Linked DNA regions of Tamandua tetradactyla. The protein of the gene in region 1 interacts with the protein of each later gene in a pairwise test. Links are inferred from orthologs where the notes say so. Each region holds a gene or a part of one and is shown on either strand. Other genes may lie near its edges. The genes, in order: HOMEZ, SH3RF2 and LRRC7.

Region 1 (3,749 bases):
CCACATCCCATCCCCAGACTAGGAAATAGGCCTCTACACAGTCAGACACACTGTTTTTCATGACAAGGGATACATCATAAATGAACACGTGTTTCATTTTCTGCTGGTACATCATTCCCTCCCCTATTCACTTGAGGAGAAACAAAGTGGACATATACTTTTCACTGTGTTCCCAGTCTTGGCACTCTTTTGGGTGACGTTACTAAAGAGCAGTGCATCAACCCGTTGGAAAGCTAACCTGGGGGGGAAAAATGAAAGTTGTTATGTGAACCCCTGAAAACCACTTAACAGAGCCTCTCCACCCCCATCCCAGTGCAGTCCTGTCCACTATGTCCAAACCCACTAGTGCTGGACTTCATTTCAGCTCTGTCAGATAAAAAAAAAACTCATTTTTGAAATAAAGTTGAAATATGAAAAAGTAATAAGATATTAAGAAGGACTCTTTGTTTGGGGCTAAAGATGGCAAGATGCCCTCCTCCATTTCTTCTTTGTCATCTCATTTCTTTAAAATCCTGTTCCCATTCTGTTCCTCTGTAGATGGAAAAGTTGGGTGGCAAAGAGATAGAGGAGTTGGGCAGTCCTGATATAAGACACCTCGGTAAGATCACACTACCGTTTGAGTAGCAGGAAAATTATCAGACTCAGAAATCTAGTGCTTTGGTTCTCTGGCACCCACACCAGCAACTGGTGCAGTTAAAGGGATCAGCTTGGTGGGAAAAAAAAGTGTTTTCCCTTGGGTATGGGCCATCTGAGTTGAATTCTGTTCTGCAAGCACTGGAAGGAAGAGTAAAACTCATTTCCGTATAATTAAGGTCAACTCTAAAGCAAGAATGAGAAATATGATGGAGAGGTAAAAGTCAAGGAACTATGACCAATTCAGAATGGAGTATGAGAAGTGGACTGACTAATAAAGGGAGGAGTCCTTGGAAAAGATCATGTTCTAACATAGTGTTGACTCCCACATCACTGAATGATGAAAGAGCCCAATTAGCCACAAAGTAGTGAGACAATGTTCCTACTAGGGAAACCCTAGCCAAAGAAAAATGAGATACTTCCTCATTGCATCATAATGACCAAGTTGTGATGTCACTGTAGAGTATCCACCCTTCAATATGTGTTGTAAATGAAGCCAGTTATGCTGAAGGGTAAGGTCAGCATGAGGAGCAGGTACCCAAGGAGAGGTAAGTGGGAGCGCTATGGTTCTTTCCATGGCTCATTGCTTAGGGTCTCCCTGTGGCCCCAATATTTTTCCAGACTTCTCACATCTTAGTTTGGCAGTAGGTTTGTCTGAAATATATCTTCTACAGACTCTTCAAAGTTGGGTTTGTTAGCTCAAATCCTCAATACTTGTAGTTCTGATCAGTCAGCCCTCAGTTCCCTCTGGCTCTGGATTTTCTTAGGAGACAGGACATAGAACATTGGAGCCAGAGGTCCCCTAAATGTGGGGCAGAAGCTGACCATATATATTTGGTGCCCTAGGGATAGATACAGATTTTTGGGTGCTTGGAGCATATAATTTTGGGGGTCCTTTTAAGGAAAAATGAATCCATATTACTAATACACAATTAGGCATAGAAGTGAACGTTTCAAAATGAAAAAATATAGCAACAAATTATGAAAGCTAACAAATACCACAATATCACAAAAGTAAGATTTTAAAAACTATCTGCTTGGTAAACCTACAGAATATCATTTTTTCTACTTTTTTGTGTGTGCTTTGATAGCTATTTCATATGATGGTTGTTTTGTTTGGAAAGTCTAGAGTTAATTGAATCTTTTTGTAGTTGATCACTTTTTTTTTTTTTTTTGGCATGGGCAGGCACTGTGATTCGAACCTGGGTCTCTGGCGTGGCAGAGTGAGAATTCTGCCACTGAGCCACCATCACACCGCCCCATGGTTGATCACATTTTAAAATTATTATTGGTAGTTTAGAAAAGTTTCACTTTCATACCTAGTGGTAGTGTCACAAATAATTAGGACTTTAGTCAACTTTGGGAAAACCTGTCAAATTTCTTTTATATATGTGATCTAATATTTTAGAGCATTTGAAATTTTCCTTTGCAATGACTAACTAATGTTATACGCCCTTTGAATTAATGACATTAGGAGTATTCCTGGAAACTATCTACATAAGAATTTATTCACAGAACTGCAAACCACATAAATATAGTTACTAAATCCAAACTAGGTGTATCCCCAACTCAGTTTCCTTAGCCAATTCTCAAATGCTTGTGGCCTTTCCATTGCCACCTGACAAAAAGGGAAGTGGGATGAAGGCGAAATCAGAAAGGAAAGAGTCATCAATCTTAGCCAATTGCAGTTAAAATATATAATTTTGAGATTTTACAAAAACCTATGATCATGTGAACACATTTCTGGGGCTCTTCCAGCCTGTGCACGTGTGGGCCCTGAAATTTCAACTTCCTTAGTCACAGGATAGATATGCCTCTGGTTAGCCCCTGCTTATCTGAATCAAGCAAAGGGAAGAATGTTTTCACCTAAAATGGGGGATTGACCTTTCTACAATGAAGATGAACTGATGAATCTCCTTTGTTCAACACTAATCCCTGGAAAAACTGGGAGGGTTACTGTCTGGCTAACTGTGGGATCCTCCCATCTCTGAAGTATCAAACGGAACCTTTTCCTCCCTGTACTCCCCCATCCCATCCATGCCATCTTCTAAAGCTTCAGGGTGAAACCTACATAAAAGAGACTTCACCCTGCATTCCAGATATTCTCCTCTTCCCTAAATTTGTCTTTGACTCTCCCTCCACTCCCAACTCTGGCAAGTGTAATCTTTCTGACACAAGAAAGGGAGCTGAATTGTTCATCTTTCACAATTCCAAGCCCATGATCAGTGATGTCCAGAGTGAGTCACTGAACCCGTCAGGGTCAGGTGCTTAGTTCCCACAGCCAGTTGCGTGGCTTTCCAGTCAAATGTGCACGAGTTCCTCCCAGTCAATACAGTTTCATTTAATTGTTTGGATTTAAAGGAATGATCTCCCCACTGGAAACTGCAGGCTGCTGCTGTCTAAAACGTTTCCCTCTTCCTTCCTGTTAGTTACAAAGCACTGGGGTATTGAAATAGTCACGATTTGGAAGACCGTCTGTATATTATACCACCAACCTCGGCTCCTTCCCTGAGGGACCAAAAGTTTCTAACTCTGAAGCTTAGTATGTGTTTTCTATTGTTTTTGTTGGATATTAGTTTGAAGAACATGGGACTGGCTGGTAGAAGTGAATATTGTTACTAAATGTAACTAAGGAGAGGAGAGAGACGGGAAAATTCAGGGCCAACAATGGAAAACGGAGCTCAACTCTGAAGCAGAGATGTATTTGTCTGGCAACTCTGAAAGCGCTCTAGACCTGAGCGGACCAATGAGGAATGTTTCCCTGGTGGGTCGGGGGGGGGGGGGGGGCGGGGGGAGGGAAGAGTTTTGAGGTATGCAGAACACAGGGCAAAGTTTGAGGCAGTTTTATAAACCATTGTAGATATATAAACTATTAAATCATCTAAACAGGTAAAAGACATTTTCAAAGCCCCACATGAGAAAAGAAGGGACACTTCTGAAAGATATTATTCCTAAATTTTAATTAGAAGACAAAGATCCTAAATATACAAACGTCTGGTCTAGAACTTTGTAGTGTGTGAGATAGTGCTCTTGTCTCCCTTTCGGAGACCAAGGTCCCCCAATTACGAGGCAGATCTCCAGGTCCTCTTTACCAGGGCAGGAAGGAGGGGTTCTGT
Region 2 (3,749 bases), on another chromosome or scaffold:
GTCTGCAAAAGTTGATTAATCAGCTAACTTTTGCCTTCCTGCTACCCCAGATGAGGTTTAGCTCACCTATCCTCCCTTTTAAAGCTATATCACCACTTAACTTAGTAAAGAGCACAGAATACCAGTCTTTTACTGGCTGTGACTCCTGACATAAGTTATCTAACTTCAAAGTGAAAGTAAAGAAGGGTATAGTGTATCATAGGAATTTTTGGAGGATTAAATGGGGTAATAAAGGTAAAGCACTTAGAACGGTTCCGGGCCCAGGAAAAGGATAGCCTAATGTTAGGTGGTATTATTATTATTATTATTATCTATTTATTCTACTTGGATATCTTTGTAACTTTCCATGAAATGTATTAGCGATGAGCCAAGAAATATAAGTATTATTTAGGGACATAAAAAGACTACAGTGGGGGGAACAGCAGAGAGCTGGAGCGCATTGCTTTTCCGTAAAAAAAAACTCTTCTGTACACTTTATTTTTCAAGGATATGTATGTACTACTGGGACATTTTTAAAATTATTATTCTTTGAAGAGACGGAGTATATTGAAAGAGTTTATCAGAGGTACCATTAATATTTCTGCCCATTTCAGAGAAATCCTTGTAAAGTTTTTTGTGTTTTTTTTAAAACCGCACAATCACGTTGGCATAACTGAACACGTTTTAACTCGCCTTGGAAAGATAAGGCGCAAAGGTAAAAACATAAAACTTTGGAAATACTTGGCCTGGGGGGCTGGCTTACGTACTATCTCATAACCGCTTCCCAGAAATCCACCCAGTTCCGTAAAGGAAGGTTCCGTAGCAGAAAGCGAAGCCCTCCTGGGGGGGCGGGGCGGGGGTGGGGGGAGGAGAGTCCTGCCGGCGCGGCAGCCGGGCGGTGAGCGCGGTAATAGTGCTGCGTAAGGCGATCCCTCGAGTTGAGTAAGACTCCGAGTTGTTCAAGTTTTCCAGGCGGCCGCGGCGGCACTGGGGGGTGAGGAAGCGAGTCGCCGGGAGCGCGGCGGAGCGGACAAGCGAGCCGAGCTGAACTCCGCCGAGGTCACTCGCGCAAGGTTAGTGGCAGCGCGCTGGTCCCCAGCCCGCTGGTCCCCAGCCCGCCCGCGCCTGGCATCCTTGGAGAGGTGGCCGAGGAAAGCGAGGCGCCATCTCTCATGTGTACCGTCCGCCGTGCTTACTGGTGGGGCCTTCCTGGCTGCAGCGTTCACCCATACCTGGGCACGTGTGAAGGACTGCTGACTCTTTCCGAGGAGACTTTCCTAAGCTGGAGACTTCTTCTCAGGCGTCCACAGGGAAACTGTTCCTGAAACAGGGGTTCTTTACACACGCGCGCGCGCGCAGGCATACCTGCCGCACCTGTATGTTCTGTTCCATCCTGGGTTTTTGCAGGTTGCGGGCACAGTCCTGAATCCCTACCTGCTTCAGTTGAAATTGAAAACACTTGTCAGAGTAACTCAACAGGCTGTGCCACCTTACATTGCCGGGAGGAATCTTGTCTCTAAGGCTGTTTAAGACAATCTTGGTGAGCAGGCAAAGAAAGGGAGAGAGAGAGAGAGGAAAGCTCCCAGGTCGAGGCAAAACAATTTTGAAAATGGGTTGCTAGTAGAGATTTCTCTTGTACATTGTTAGATGAAAAATAATGGGGGAAGATGTATTGTGAAGGGAATAATTCTACATCTGATGTGATTCAGATAAACTTACCCACATCAACTAAACTTACCTGCATGTGGCGCAGATAATAGATTAACCTGGAGAGAGAAGGAGTAGATCTCTTCACAGAAATTACATTCTGGAGGGGCTCTGATTTGAGAATTGAGAGTGTCTGAGTGCTTTACCCAGATTTTAAAGGACCCCCTCCCAGCCCAGACTGGCAGAGAAGAGGGGGTGTGCCACTTCAGCAGGCCATTTTTGCTCTCTGCCTTTCCACACAGAGAGCCTGTGCGCAGTCTCTGCTGAATGCTGCTGGCTCCTGTTCCTTGCAGCAGGCAGGAGTCCTGTACCTGCTAGCACTGAATCAGAATGAGTCATTTGAAACTTGGGTGCCGGAACAAAGTACTTGCAAACTGCCTTATGAGACATTGCCTCAATGTAGGTGGGATATACATCTCAGAGCAGTCACAGTTCTATCCTCCCTTCTTTTCCCCTTCAAACAGGCAGGAAATCTGAGGCTCTGGAGAGACCGGCACTGCCCCCTCAGCTCGGCTGCCCCTACAATGTGGATGCTGCCCCTTCAGGTCAGGACTGGAGTGTTAAAATAAAATGGATGATGTGACGTTACTTGATCTTTTGGAGTGCCCTGTGTGTTTCGAAAAGCTCGATGTCACAGCCAAAGTCCTCCCTTGCCAGCACACCTTCTGCAAACCATGTCTACAGAGGATTTTCAAGGCCCGCAAAGAGCTGAGGTGCCCAGAATGCAGGACCCTGGTCTTCTGCAGCATCGAGGCGCTGCCAGCCAACCTGCTGCTCGTGCGTCTTCTGGACGGTGTGCGCTCAGGGCAGAGCTTGGGCAGAGGGGGCCACTTACGCAGGCCTGGCGTGTGGAGCCTGCAGGACAGCCCGAAAAGCAGGGCCAGCCCCCGAGGACTGCAGTCCGGCACTTTCCGGCTGGTGCCCAATATCAGGATCCACATGGATGGGGTAAGAGAGATCTTATTTGTTAGTATCGTGTCCATGTGGAGGTTGGATTTGTGTTTACCCAGAGTTGGGAAGGATCTTCTTGGAGTTGCACTTCCAAGAATGTTTGCGGTTGGTTCCCTACTAAGTTTCTGGGATCAGCGATCACTTTTCTGAAGTGTAGGTAGAATCCTAAGCCTGTCTAATCAGTCTGAGAATTCTCCTTAGAAGTGAGCATTTATTGAAGCCTCCCTAGGTGGTTCCTGTTTCTTGTACTGAAGGCGGCAGGACAAGGAAGGCCTCCCTGATTATGTTTTTGTCTTTCCCTTCTCTTGTTCTGAGGCCAAACTCGTGCATGGGAAATGTATGGAGGGTAGGAAAAAGAGAGAAAAACAAATCCAGCTGCTTGTTGCCTTTGAGATCTCTGAGAAATTTCCAATTTCAGGTTTTATTTTAATTTTACCCAAATCTGTCTTCCCACTCCCAATCATAAAGTGCCATTATGACAATGCTCATTCATAAACTGTTTGAAGCTATCAAGATACTTGACACTCAAAAATCGTGAAGGAGGGAAGCGTGTATGTGGGTGTACTGATTGATAGCAAATCCGGGCCATGAAATACAATGGATGTGTACAAGAGCCCTGCAGATGGATCTTACTTGACAAAATGAATAAGCCACGCATGAAATACATGCTAGGGGCTACAATAAAAAATGAATGGACATGGTAGAGCTGTACCGGAGATTGTCCGGTAATATTTTTGGTGTTTTAATAATACAAATCCATCTGTCCAACCCTGCAAGCACACCCTGTGGACTTTATCTGAACTGACTGTGAACCTTGCTATGGGATGCTTTGTAAGAGCACATCTCGAGAGAAGAATGTGGTCCTTGTGAGTCCAAAATAATTATTTGCACTGTCACCCCTGGAGTCAGTGTGCCAAAGTGAACATGGAAAGCTATGGCCTGGGTCATTGCATGTTTAGAATATCAAAGCTGCATTCTGTGAAGTCGTGCTGGTGAGCAAGCTATAAAGCTTTACTACTGACAGTAGAGTCCCATGACTCCCTGCTATTACAAGTGACAGTGTGTATGTGTGTGTGTGTGTGTGTGCGTGTGTGTAGAGAGGGGCTGGGCTT
Region 3 (3,749 bases), on another chromosome or scaffold:
TTTCAAAAAAGGGGCTGAGGGTTGTGGACGTGGTCACCCCCTTCTATCCCTGGAAAATCTCCTTGACATTTTTCACACTTTGAAGCAGCTGCAGCTGGTGTCGTCGGAAAAGAGGGTGGAAAAAAAAGAGAGAGAGAGAGAGAGGAGGGGGGTGGGGGGGCGGGGAGAGCGGGAGACACAGCCAAGAGCCTGGAGCAGCGCCTCCTCGCCTGCCAATCCTGGCACCTGTGCGCGGAGCCACTGCACCGAGGAGATCCCCGGTCCCGGCGAACCCCGGGCCTGACGCCACGGACACCCAGCCCTTGGGCGGCGGGTTCTCGCCGGCGGCACCCGAAGCCGCCCACTCAGGCCAACGCCGCCGCCTGCAGCCGCGGGAGCGCACGGCCCCTCCGAGCCGCCGGCTGCGCCCCGGCCCCCGGGGATCCTCGCCCCGCAGAGGCTCGGCAGCCGGCAGGGGTAGGGGGGGCGGCTCGGAGTTGGGTGCACGATTCGGCTTTCCTGCTCGTCTCTTCTCCGCCCAGGATTTATTGTCTGTGGAGCCTTCTGGGGGGTGGGGACGAAGCTGCGCCTCCGCCACCGCCGCTGCCGCTTCTGCGGTCGCTAGCGCGGCGCGCAGGGCTGGCGGAGGCTGGGGAGTGGACGCGCGCCCGCTTCTCCCGCTGGCGCTTCGGGCTTTCCCTCGGCGGCTCATGGCGGGAACCTCTTCAGCCGTCCACCTGAAGGGCACCGGCGTCGTGGTCTAACGTGGCACCGCCTGGGATCCCCTTATTTTCCTCCTCTTCTTCTTCCTCCTCTTCTGCCGTCCTCCTCCTCCTCCTCCGAGGACCCTCGCGCCCACTTCACTGCGGACGCCGGAACACTTTAAGGAATAACCCTTGCAGCTTGCACGGCTCTCGAGAACCACATGGGCTGCTTCTCCCGCCTGCTATGTGAGTAGTACACCCTCGCGCGGTGGCCGAGGGGGCTCTGCGGGGGCCTCGCCGCCTCCGGCCGCAGCGATCGTAGGCGCGCGAGGTGGGGGACCCGAGCGGCCGGCCGGGGGCGGGGTGGGTGGGCAGGGTGGGAGTCTCCCGCGCTCTCTGGGAGCTGCTGGCTCGGTTGTCGGCGGAGGTGGCGGTGATGTGGGAGGTAGGTTGCGGGGCATTCAGAAATAGGGTGCTACTTGTGTGGGTGCATGGGAACGCCGAGTAGCCTGGGCTGGGAGGGGACCCTAAAGGGTTACATACTGCGAAAAAGAAGGAAAAGGGCTAGTGTTGGGCATTGGCGCTGGGACTGTTTGTCGTGCTGAGGTTAGGCTTAGCTCCTCTTTATTATCTCGGGTATCTCCAGTCAGCCTTTTTCCTGGAGGTGTCTCAGAGATGAAGCAATTGTTTGATCATGACACACACACACACACCCGTAAACTCACACACACTTGTGGCAGGTCTCAGTCGCCCTTTTTTTCTAGAAGGTATTGTATTACTGACTTGATATCTGTTTGAAAAATACATTTAGAAGATCCTTATGTCATTGGGGATTCGAGAGAAGGGGTGGGGGTTGGGGGGATAGTGGGGGACGAAGGTGCATGAAAGACTGGAGGACAGACTGAAGTGGGGAGCGATGGAGTGAAAGCTTTCACTGAGAGTCAGCGAGAACGATGCCTCCTGCCCCCTAAGCTTAGACAACTCCTGCCCCCACAGCTCCTTTGTGTTGCACCGCGAAGCCGGTGAACCTGGACTATTCCCAGTTGCAGCGCTGGGCTCCCTTCAGCATTTTGCGTCTTCCTCTGGAGTCATTAAGGATGCAGGACGCAGTTCAGGTCTTACGTGAAAAGAGGGAGGGAAGCACATTAGCATTACGGTAATCATGGCACCCTGGCTCACAGACAATTAGATTGGCCACCGGTGGTCTCTAGTCTTTATGTTTGCAGTCATGAAAGGGGATGGGGAGTGGGGGCTCAACTGATTGCTTTTGAAAAATAGCGTGACTTCATAATAACGGAGATGCTTGCAAAATTGCTTCATTACACTACTTCTCAGCCATCAGGGCTGAATAAAGGACCCGCCTCCGCCCACTCCTCCCTCTCTTTCTCCTCCCCAACAAGTCACAAAGCGACAGGGCTGGGATAGAGGGCCCAAGGCAAGTCGGAGTAGGGTTGGGGTCACTTTCACAACTCCTGGTAATCGTTTTCGAAGGCAACCATCTGCAACTCCCACGCTCCTTTCGTAGCTCACCTTCAAGAGGAATGAGAAAAAAAAGGGGATCAGTAAGACACACAAGTCCTCCACCTGCTCTTTTCGGTTACTTTCCCAATGCATTTTCAACACATCCAATTACCCTGCAGTGCTAACTGGGTCAGCACGTATATGTGTACCTGTATATGCTGAAATGTGGCTCTCCTGATAGATGAAAAAGCAATTTGTATGTGAGCGTATTTAACCTGGGCAAAATTTCTAAGCACAATAGAGATTTTGTAGCGTGGGCGAGGAGAGTGCATTCCAGCGAGAGCAGGACACGTGATCTCTCTAACGAGAGAGATACAGTATTAGGAATTCGATTTTCTTTGTTTCAAGCTGAGCCTATGAGATGCTCGGCATCCAGGTTGCTTTCCTCCTGTAAAAGGAAAAAATAACGAAGTTGGCCGAAGGCGAGAGTCACAGGAAGAGAAGCCCAGGTAGATATATCTGCAAAGGGCTTGTAATCTTCCGTCAGTGCCCTTTCCCCACCTCCCTCCAGCCGCCCCATCCAGAGCCCTATTTAAAATGAGGCATTCCCTTTGGGAGAGGCGGTTAAAAAGTTCTCCAGTCCATGCACACGTGGGTTCTCCAGCTCCTAAGAACCTGCTGCGGTTCGCAATAGATTCTGCCACCTCCCCAGTCCAGGTGTCACGCCTCCATCCAGGGAGGCGTCTTGAAAGCTGACTTCCAGGACTCTAAGTCAGCCACCAGGAGATCTTTTTAAAGAAAGCAGTATAGTGGAGGCATGTCACTGCTTCTTGCAAACCGTTGATGGCACCCGGGAGAGAATGAGAAAGTAGAGATATAGGAATAATTTTATTTTCCTTAAAAATAAGAGTTATAGGACTAAAGTACATTGGGGTTGATGTTCAGTGATGTCTGCGTTTGGACTCCTGGAGCTCTCTCAGGCCTGTGGAATGTCCTGAAGTCTGATGATTTGGCAGTTTAATGGAAGTGGAATTTGTGTCCAAAACTACTGCTTAATTAGCATTACCTGGCTTGTAGATTTGCTTTTTTAATTTCTCTTCCCATCAGGTTTTATAAGCCATCTTAATGGGCTGAAGTTTTAAAATGTAGGCTATTTCTGTCTATGCTGCATTGCATCATACAATATGTCATGCTAGGGAAAGCAGAGTCAATTTCCATGGTATCATATGAGGTGAGAGTTTCTTTATGCATTTTTAGACTTGGCTGTCCAAGAAAAGATGTGTACTTACCATGGCAACCCCTACATTCTCCATCACGTGTGACTGCACATATGCAGCTTCAGAATTAGAAACAACTCCTTAAAGAAAGGAAACCTGGCCAATTAAAGTAGTCACGATTTATTCAGATTTTTTTTTTGCACTGCTTTGGGATGGAATTAAATTTTATTAATTAAATTATCATAACCCTTTCTTTTAAAAGCTTTTAATATTTCTACTTCCTCTATAGAATAGAAGACCTAGCTTGAAGTGGTTTTGTGTATCTATGTCTTTGTTAGTTTGGAATTTAAAAATTGTGAGAATAAGTTAATATTAATATTAGTTATGA

Evidence for each region.
Region 2: the proteins of HOMEZ (region 1) and SH3RF2 interact in a two-hybrid assay, tested with the Homo sapiens proteins (2 studies listed by BioGRID). The two-hybrid records come from large-scale screens. The link is inferred for Tamandua tetradactyla from reciprocal best matches to the Homo sapiens genes HOMEZ and SH3RF2.
Region 3: the proteins of HOMEZ (region 1) and LRRC7 interact in a two-hybrid assay, tested with the Homo sapiens proteins (2 studies listed by BioGRID). The two-hybrid records come from large-scale screens. The link is inferred for Tamandua tetradactyla from reciprocal best matches to the Homo sapiens genes HOMEZ and LRRC7.

The regions. Positions count from the first base shown.
Region 1 is NC_135340.1:31,586,633-31,590,381, forward strand, and holds the start of HOMEZ (homeobox and leucine zipper protein Homez), read left to right. Parts: upstream 1-1,048; 5' UTR 1,049-1,123; coding exon 1,124-1,181; intron 1,182-3,749. UniProt on the Homo sapiens protein: May function as a transcriptional regulator.
Region 2 is NC_135346.1:26,408,590-26,412,338, forward strand, and holds the start of SH3RF2 (E3 ubiquitin-protein ligase SH3RF2), read left to right. Parts: upstream 1-893; 5' UTR 894-1,052; intron 1,053-2,111; exon of another isoform or gene 2,112-2,150; 5' UTR 2,151-2,256; coding exon 2,257-2,634; intron 2,635-3,749. UniProt on the Homo sapiens protein: Has E3 ubiquitin-protein ligase activity. Acts as an anti-apoptotic regulator of the JNK pathway by ubiquitinating and promoting the degradation of SH3RF1, a scaffold protein that is required for pro-apoptotic JNK activation.
Region 3 is NC_135337.1:56,445,117-56,448,865, reverse strand, and holds the start of LRRC7 (leucine-rich repeat-containing protein 7), read left to right. Parts: upstream 1-886; 5' UTR 887-927; coding exon 928-929; intron 930-3,749.